Linked DNA regions of Rattus norvegicus. The main gene of each other region encodes a partner of the protein of the gene in region 2 in a complex. Links are inferred from orthologs where the notes say so. Each region holds a gene or a part of one and is shown on either strand. Other genes may lie near its edges.

Region 1 (3,647 bases), about 73 Mb from region 2:
CTGGATCAGGGTTCGAATGGCTGCAGGGCTGGCAGGTGCCCGTGGCCCAGGCAGCCGGTCCACCAGATGATCAGCAAGCTCCACGAAGAGGTCCGTGCTGCAGGCGGCTGCCAGATGACCGAGTGCGACAACGGTGCGCTTGCGCACAGCCAGGCGCGGGCTGCTCAGCTGAGGCAATAGGCAGTGTAGCAGGCTTGCATGGAAGGTGCCCAATGGGGCACCTAGCCTGGGGACAGGATGAGAGCAATGTCAGGCCAGGCACCACACTCAGGCAGTTAGGATCCACATCCCCATCTTCTCTGTACCTCCTACTCACGATATCCAAAGACCATTGGAAAGTGAGAAGGTACCTCTCACGATGGGGAGTGACTGCTTATTACTGGGCAGTCAGTGGGGTGAGACTGCCTTCTGAAGGCTTTGAAGTCAACAGTGTGAGTCTATGACCTGAACCCAGGTGTCCAATTCTCAGCTCAGGGAGAAGTGCAGTGGGTATGGGGGCTCCGGTGAGGATGTTCCAAACTCTTGGAAGCCTGAGGTTTGCCTTTATACCCATCCCTGCAAGTCTATTCTCCTTTCTGAGACTCGAGTGAAATAACACCTAACAGACTTGATCACTGCTCTGCTTAATCCTGCGGTGGCTCCCCAGTGTCCTCGGGATAAGCTGAGCTCTGAACTCAAGACAAGTGGCAGTCCTCATATAGTCTCTCCCTGGCTCTCGGTGGCCCCAGCTCCTCCCCCAGTCAAACAGCCCTGGGTGACTTTGACCCCCGTGTCCCAAGGTCGTTCTCTTCTTGCTCTGCTGCCCCCCATGACCTCACTCTCCTGTGTCTAGCCCAGGTCACTCTGCTGCAGCCTGACTACTTACTCATCTACTTTGTCACAGGCTCTATGCTGGAAGTCAGATCATAAAGACAGACTCTGGCCCTTGAAGCTCTTGATTGAGGGATGCCTTCCGAGCACCACAAACTCAACATGCCCAAATGGAACACATCACCTCCTACTGTACCTCTCTGCTCCCGGAGCACCCCACCTCAATCCTCTCATTTCCTGGTTCCTAAAACAGACTTGTAGGGTCATCCTCTAGTCTCACCACTCCAGACCCTGTGGAGTCCACCTCTTCAGACAACCTATGGAAGCCAAGCCAGGCTTAGGGGCACAGGCCTATAGTCTCACCTGCTAGGAAAGCTGAGGCAGAAGGGTTACAGGTTTAAGGCCAGTCTGGATCACAGAGTGAGTTCAAGGCCTGCCTGAGCAACTCTGAGAGATGGAGTCTCAAAAGTAAAACATGCGAGGGTTAGAGACAAAGCTCAGTGGTAGAGTGCTTCCCCAGCATGACTGAAACCTTGGGCCCAATCCCACCACAAACATAAAAACAAAGGCACTTCTATCCAGCCCTGCTTGTCCAGACTACAGAAGGAGGGAGAAAAGGAGGATGGGGGTGTGTCCTGGGGGCTCCTACCCAGCCCTCCAGCCTCATTGCTGCATACCAATCAGCTCACCACGCACAAGCCCGGGGCTCAAATCTGTTAGGACCCAGAGCAGAGACTGCTTAGGTCACGAACACATGCTGCTAACACTGTATATAGGTCCCAGACTAACACAGTATGATGCATACATATTCATCAATGGGCCCCTCTTCCCACACCCTGGAAGTTACGCCTTCCTCTAAGTACAAGAATCCTTGCTCCACCCCTGCCATCCTGAATCAGAGATGTCCTGATTACAAGCACCAATTGAAAGACAGGTATCACCCATATAGTGTGGAACCTCTCAATCCTTTGAAACCTTTAAGGAACCCCACTCTGCCAGAGGCCTAACCTCTTCTTAGAGCCCAACATGTTGGATCTCCCCTTTCCCCACAAGATAGGGTTTCTCTGTGTAACAGCCCTGTCAGTTCTAGAACTTGCTTTGTAGTCTAGGCTGGCCTTGAACTCATAGAGATCTGCCTGCCTCTGCCTCTGGAGTACTGAGATTAAAGGTATGCACCACCACACCTGGCCCTTCTACTCTTTGAATCAAAAGGACAATCTGCATCAGTGTCCCCTTGAGCCCTAAACCTGAACCCTTTCACAATCCTCTCCTGCCACTGCCCTCTGTGATGCCCAGGGCCCACAGAGACTCAGCTCCAGTAGATGCCCTTGTCCGGCTGCTGGACCGGGGCCTTTCGAGCTTGGGCCCTGTACTTGACTTAATCACTCTACTATTGTATTTAGTTGGCTACCTGCCTGTGACTCCTCCCCAGGAACAACGCAGACCAACATGCTAGCACCTAACCTTACTGCCTCCAGAACAAACGCACAGTCACCAGAGGTTCACTGCGTGACTGGGAGCTGATGACCTCGGGAGCCTGTTCCATGGTGTGGCACTGCTGCTCTCTTTGCAAAGCTGCTGGGTGACTAAGGCGTCCTGAGCACAGGACCTGCCTTGCAGGCCACTCATCTCGGTCTTGCCTGTCCCCGTCGTTCTGGCTTCAAGTGGCCTCGCTCACCTGCTCAGCATGTCGGAGAGGATGTCCAGGGCTTCCAGCTGCACAGCCACATCCTCCTGCTGGGCGATGGCACTGGTGAGCTGGCCGGTGATCTTGCGGCACACACTGATAGCCAGCCCCGAGCCTATGCAGGGCACAAGTGGAAGGGTAAGGCCCTGGCTCGGGACGGCAGCTGCCAACTCTGGCCTGCCTGTGCTTCTGAACCCATAGTCCCCAGATGTCTGTGGTTTAGGAAAGCCTGGGCTTCAGTGGTCCAAGCTTGACCCAAGTCTTAAGGAACAACTGCAGGAATCAGCTCTAAGGAAAGGGTCAAACCAATGGCTAAGCTGCTGGCTGGCCCACACACCAGGAAGGGAGACAAGTTAAACTTTTCCCAGTCCCCTGCTACTAGCAATGGCCAGTGGCCCAGCTCTGGCCAGTGCGATAGAATCCGTTGGGAAATGTCTTTTCTTACAAAGGGGGGAGAACATGGATGAAGAATGTGAGTCTGCCAGACTGAGTTACAGAGCTGCAACAAGAATGGGAGTGGCTGGGCCTAGTGCATCTAAGTCACTGCACTGGTCTCCAGCAGAAAAGAAGGAAAGAGGGGAGGAGGGGAGAAGGGGAGCAGGGGAGGGGGGAGAAGAGGGGAGGAGAAAGCTCGGCAGCAACAGTCATCCCTCCAGAGAGATCACAGAAGGTCTTTAAGCTGCTATGACTTCGGGGTTGGGGATTTAGCTCAGTGGTAGAGCGCTCGCCTAGCAAGCGCGAGGCCCTGGGTTCGGTCCCCAGCTCCGGAAAAAAAGAAAAAAAAAAAAAAAAAAAAAAAGCTGCTATGACTTTGAGCTCTTGTGGCTGGAAGCATTCCTGACAAACAGGCAGCCATAAATTTAAACTGATCTGTGTCTGAATTCTTGACTACTGAGGGACCCAAGTAGGTCTTTTTACTTCTGAGTCCTCTCTCTTTTTAAATTTGAGACAAGGTCTCACTATTTGGCTCTGGCTGTCCTAGATCTATGTAGATCAGGCTGACCTCAAACTCATACTGACCTACCACCTCTATGTACAGAATGCCAGGATTAAAGGCAAGTGCCACTACTTAATAAAGACACTTAACATAGGCGTAAACACTGGGTGAGGGGAAACAGAGACACACAGAAGGCACACTGTGGACTTCCCA
Region 2 (3,647 bases):
CCGTTACTAAGCTGTGTCACTCTGGCAGCTCTTTCCAGTTAGAGCACAGATGAGGCCAACACATTTCCCTAAGCATACAGTGCAGACATGGTTCAGTCACCTGAATCAGTAGTTTGCGGTCTTCCTCTATATTTTTGTGTGTGGTTTCTTGTTCCTGCTTCTGTTCAGTTTTCATTGGTACATTGATATTAACCCTCAATTTCTTACTGTCAAGACAACAGAGGAAACAGGTCATTAAAAAGCCTGCTTCCTGTCTTTCAACACTGCATGTTTTGCCTCTCTGGACTGGGCAGGTGGCTCACACCCATCTCTCTACATCATTTCTACCAACCACCTGGGAACTGCTCCTCCATCAGTCGTATGTAATTTTACCAAGAGCAGTGACTGAAGTGACATTTGACCCTCAATTTTGTGAAGTGTAATAACACTAAAATAACTTGATATAAAGGTCTAAACATGTCATGAGTCACTTAAACTTATTTTCAAAATAAAGAGAAAATCAAACTCAGTATTAAACAAAGCAGCACTGAGGACTGCAGGCAGTCAGCACGCCTATGCAGAGTCCCTTGGCTTCTGAAGTATGCCCTGTGCCAGGGGGGAAGACCAACAGCTATATATTAGATTTTTCTTACTTTTTATAACCAAGATATAACTTTATTAAGGTGTCTGGCTTCAATTCCACCTCATCAACATTGGCATTTTCATCTTCTAAGACCTAGAAGAAAATAACTGTTACTAGGCACATCCCAGGGTAAGGGTTACTTCCAGCAACACAAAGTATACAAACATACCAGCAATTTTGACTTCAGTAAAATCTGTAGGACTTGTGCCAAAATGTCCTGCAATTAAAGAAAGATGGTGAGCAAGGAGGAAGAATACTTCTTTCTAGTGGCTGTCCCAGAGACTCAGATCACTGTCTCACAGGAGTAGTCATCACCCCAAAGCAGAGCCCACCTAGAGAAAGTGACATGGACTGAAGCACCCACTACTCAAAGGCAATAATGCAGTTTCCCAAAACGACCGCACACAATATGTGGCCTGCTTCTTCTATGAAACCTACAGGAAATGATTCACTTCTTCAATGTCTGAAGCTTCAAAAGGCATTTATGTGGCGCTGGGGATCAAACCCAGGGCTGGGTGCCAAGCAAGTGTTCTACCACTAAACCACACCCTTGAACATGCAAACAAAGCAACCAGGAGCTTCGGCCGAACCAATGCTACACTACATTCATGACCAAGCTCAAACTCAGGGGCAGCTGACCTGCTGCCAACTTGGCTTTAGTGAACTCAAGTACATCATGTGACTTCTCTGAGGCATCAGCTGCTCCAGTGATTCCCAGCACCATCAAGCTTCATGGACACTTAACTTCCTCACCTGCACTCTTAACCAAGGCTCCCATGCTGGTCTGAGACTATGAAGGTAGGTCTGTCAGAGGAGTGGCAGCTATGAACTGGGGCCTGAAGGAGGGCGGCTAAAGACCCATAAGGTAATTCTAATACTACAAAAAAGTAGAAAGACTGGTGTGGCATCGAGGAGAAGGCCAAGTAGAGACTAGAGAGGCAGACCTGTCAGCCCTTTCAAACAGCCAGCAAAGAATAAGAGTAGGTTTTATAAAAATAAAAAATGTATGTACAACAGTGTATCCATCAGTAAGTGGACATATCAACTAAAAAATAAAATGGGGGCTGGGAGGGACTACAGCTTATGTGGTGGAGTACTTGCCTGCCTAACGTGCCCAAGGCCCTGGATTCAATCTCCTGCACTGCATAAAAACAGGTGTGGAGCATGTCAGTAATCCACTACAGAGTACAGATGTGTGGGTAAAGGCAGAGGGACAGTAAGTTAATTCAAGGCCATTCTCTGCCTACTTAGTAAGTTTGAGGTCACCCTGGATTATAGGAGACTGTTTCAACAACAACAACAACAACAACAACAACAACAACAACAACAACAACAGAAAACCCCAACCAAACAAAAAATAAAGTGAATGAGAAAAAACTTAAACTCGTGTATCTGTTCACCAGCACTCATGTGAAGGCTTAGCCTTGTCTGGAGCACTGTGGGGAATAAGTGAGAGAACCCTAAGTCTTACTGGCTATGCAGCCCTGCTGAATGGATAAGCTCCAGATTCCCTGAGAGACTCTGCCTCAAAGAAAGGATGAAAGTGTAACACAGGGACATCTACTTCTAGTCTACAACAAACGTGAATACAAATACATATATCTACACACAAATGTATCCATACACACATGTGCACACGTGTGCGTACACACACACATGCAAATGAATAAATACTACTATCTGCTAAGCCTTTGCAGACAGGATATACATAAGTGAAAATAAGGCAAGTGGAGAAAGAGACATATAGCTTGATTCTACTTTTATGTCATGTCCAGAGTAGAAGAGTCCACTCCTGCTTCGGTACAACACAGAAGAGGATAATGGGCATCAGAGGCATTGGGCAAAGTGGGAAGGTAGAGTTGTCACTGCTAACAGTTATGGTCTACTCTCAAGGGGTGGAGATGTTCTAGAATGGGATAGTAGTGGGGTTATATAAAGCTGTTTACTGACTAAATAAAATCTGGCCACTACCATCACAAGTGCTAGCCATCATGTCTGTCTAAGTACCTGTTTTCTCCAAAACTATTTGCTTAAAAACTGTAAAGTCATAAAATCATGAGAGTGGCACGTGGAGCTTTATGACCCATATTGCAGTGCCACCAGCACCAGAAATGTGGGGGTGTTCCTCACACTAGTTTGAGGTAAATCAGGTTAACCTTTGGCTCAACTGAACCTTGCCCATTATGTAAACTTCTCTCACTCAACCATGAGGATTCAGTGGTCCTGTTGCCATCCAAAGTGTCAGAGGTCCCAGAGAAACGCCCTCGGTGGATCTGGCCTGGTCTTCCGGTGCCTTAGTCCAAGTTTTACTACTTTTCATTTTTTTCTCCATGCAGTTAACATCTATTAAGTCAAAGACACCTGTGCCCTCTCCCCCTTTCTACAACATCCCAATGAACAAAGAACGGGCAGCTTGAGAGTACCAAGCAAGGATGAGACGGCAGACCTACCATTTTAATCTGAGTGCTGTCGGTCAGCTGCTGCACAGTATAGGCGTCTTCTGTGTTGTACTGAAGCAGGATGGCCATCTGGAATGTGGACGCCTTCACGGCCCAGAGAAAAGAAAGGAGGAAATGTGAAACACAGGAAAGGTCTTCATAGGTACAACCTACTTTCACAAAATGCATTCTTCAGATACAAAAGAGATGGAATACAAAATGTCACAAGGCCAGGAGACTGGACATTTTCCTTAAAGACACCTTTCAAACACTGAAAGGGCTTTCAGTTTTCTCCTGCGATGTATCCTCTACACAAGCATAAACATAAGAGCCTATCCACACTTGTGTAAACAGGCACCAGTTGTAGAGACATGAATTATGAGTTTAGTTTTTATGCACAGTAGTACCCCCTGGGTGGGGGTACATACCAGGTATATATTATGTGTGTGTTCAAGATGCCAGAGACCTCCATACCAGGTATAATGGTTACTTAATTATCTTATCAATGTAGAAGTAGAAAGGTTAACTAATGAGCAGTTTGAGTCACCCATCTAAAGTTTAATGCTAAAAGAAATTATCATTACCAG

Evidence for each region. Proteins that work in one complex are often made in the same cells at the same time.
Region 1: the proteins of Cul1 (region 2) and Cand2 are in contact, whole or in part, in a cryo-EM structure (PDB 8VVY), measured with the Homo sapiens proteins. The link is inferred for Rattus norvegicus from reciprocal best matches to the Homo sapiens genes CUL1 and CAND2. Residues at the interface, in NP_001357589.1 of Homo sapiens: Val31, Thr33, Arg34, Gln35, Met37, Lys39, Tyr42, Met111, Asp112, Trp123, Arg127, Phe128, Val132, Asn181, Leu184, Glu188, Gly193, Glu194, Thr195, Asn197, Thr198, Arg199, Ser202, Gln206, Val209, Glu210, Gly212, Leu213, Asn214, Lys221; in NP_001155971.1 of Homo sapiens: Asp21, Phe22, Phe24, Met25, Asn61, Gly62, Glu63, Gln65, Asn66, Leu67, Glu100, Gln101, Asp104, Asp156, Asp160, Leu189, Ala190, Lys193, Arg194, Glu276, Gln280, Asp343, Asp344, Trp349, Lys350, Arg353, Glu389, Ser492, Ser493, Thr494.

What each region holds. Positions count from the first base shown.
Region 1 is NC_086022.1:150,514,149-150,517,795, reverse strand, and holds part of Cand2 (cullin-associated NEDD8-dissociated protein 2), read right to left. Parts: intron 3,268-3,647; exon of another isoform or gene 3,187-3,267; intron 2,613-3,186; coding exon 2,489-2,612; intron 227-2,488; coding exon 1-226.
Region 2 is NC_086022.1:77,614,210-77,617,856, reverse strand, and holds part of Cul1 (cullin-1), read right to left. Parts: intron 3,166-3,647; coding exon 3,073-3,165; intron 840-3,072; coding exon 792-839; intron 716-791; coding exon 633-715; intron 207-632; coding exon 101-206; intron 1-100. UniProt on the Homo sapiens protein: Core component of multiple cullin-RING-based SCF (SKP1-CUL1-F-box protein) E3 ubiquitin-protein ligase complexes, which mediate the ubiquitination of proteins involved in cell cycle progression, signal transduction and transcription.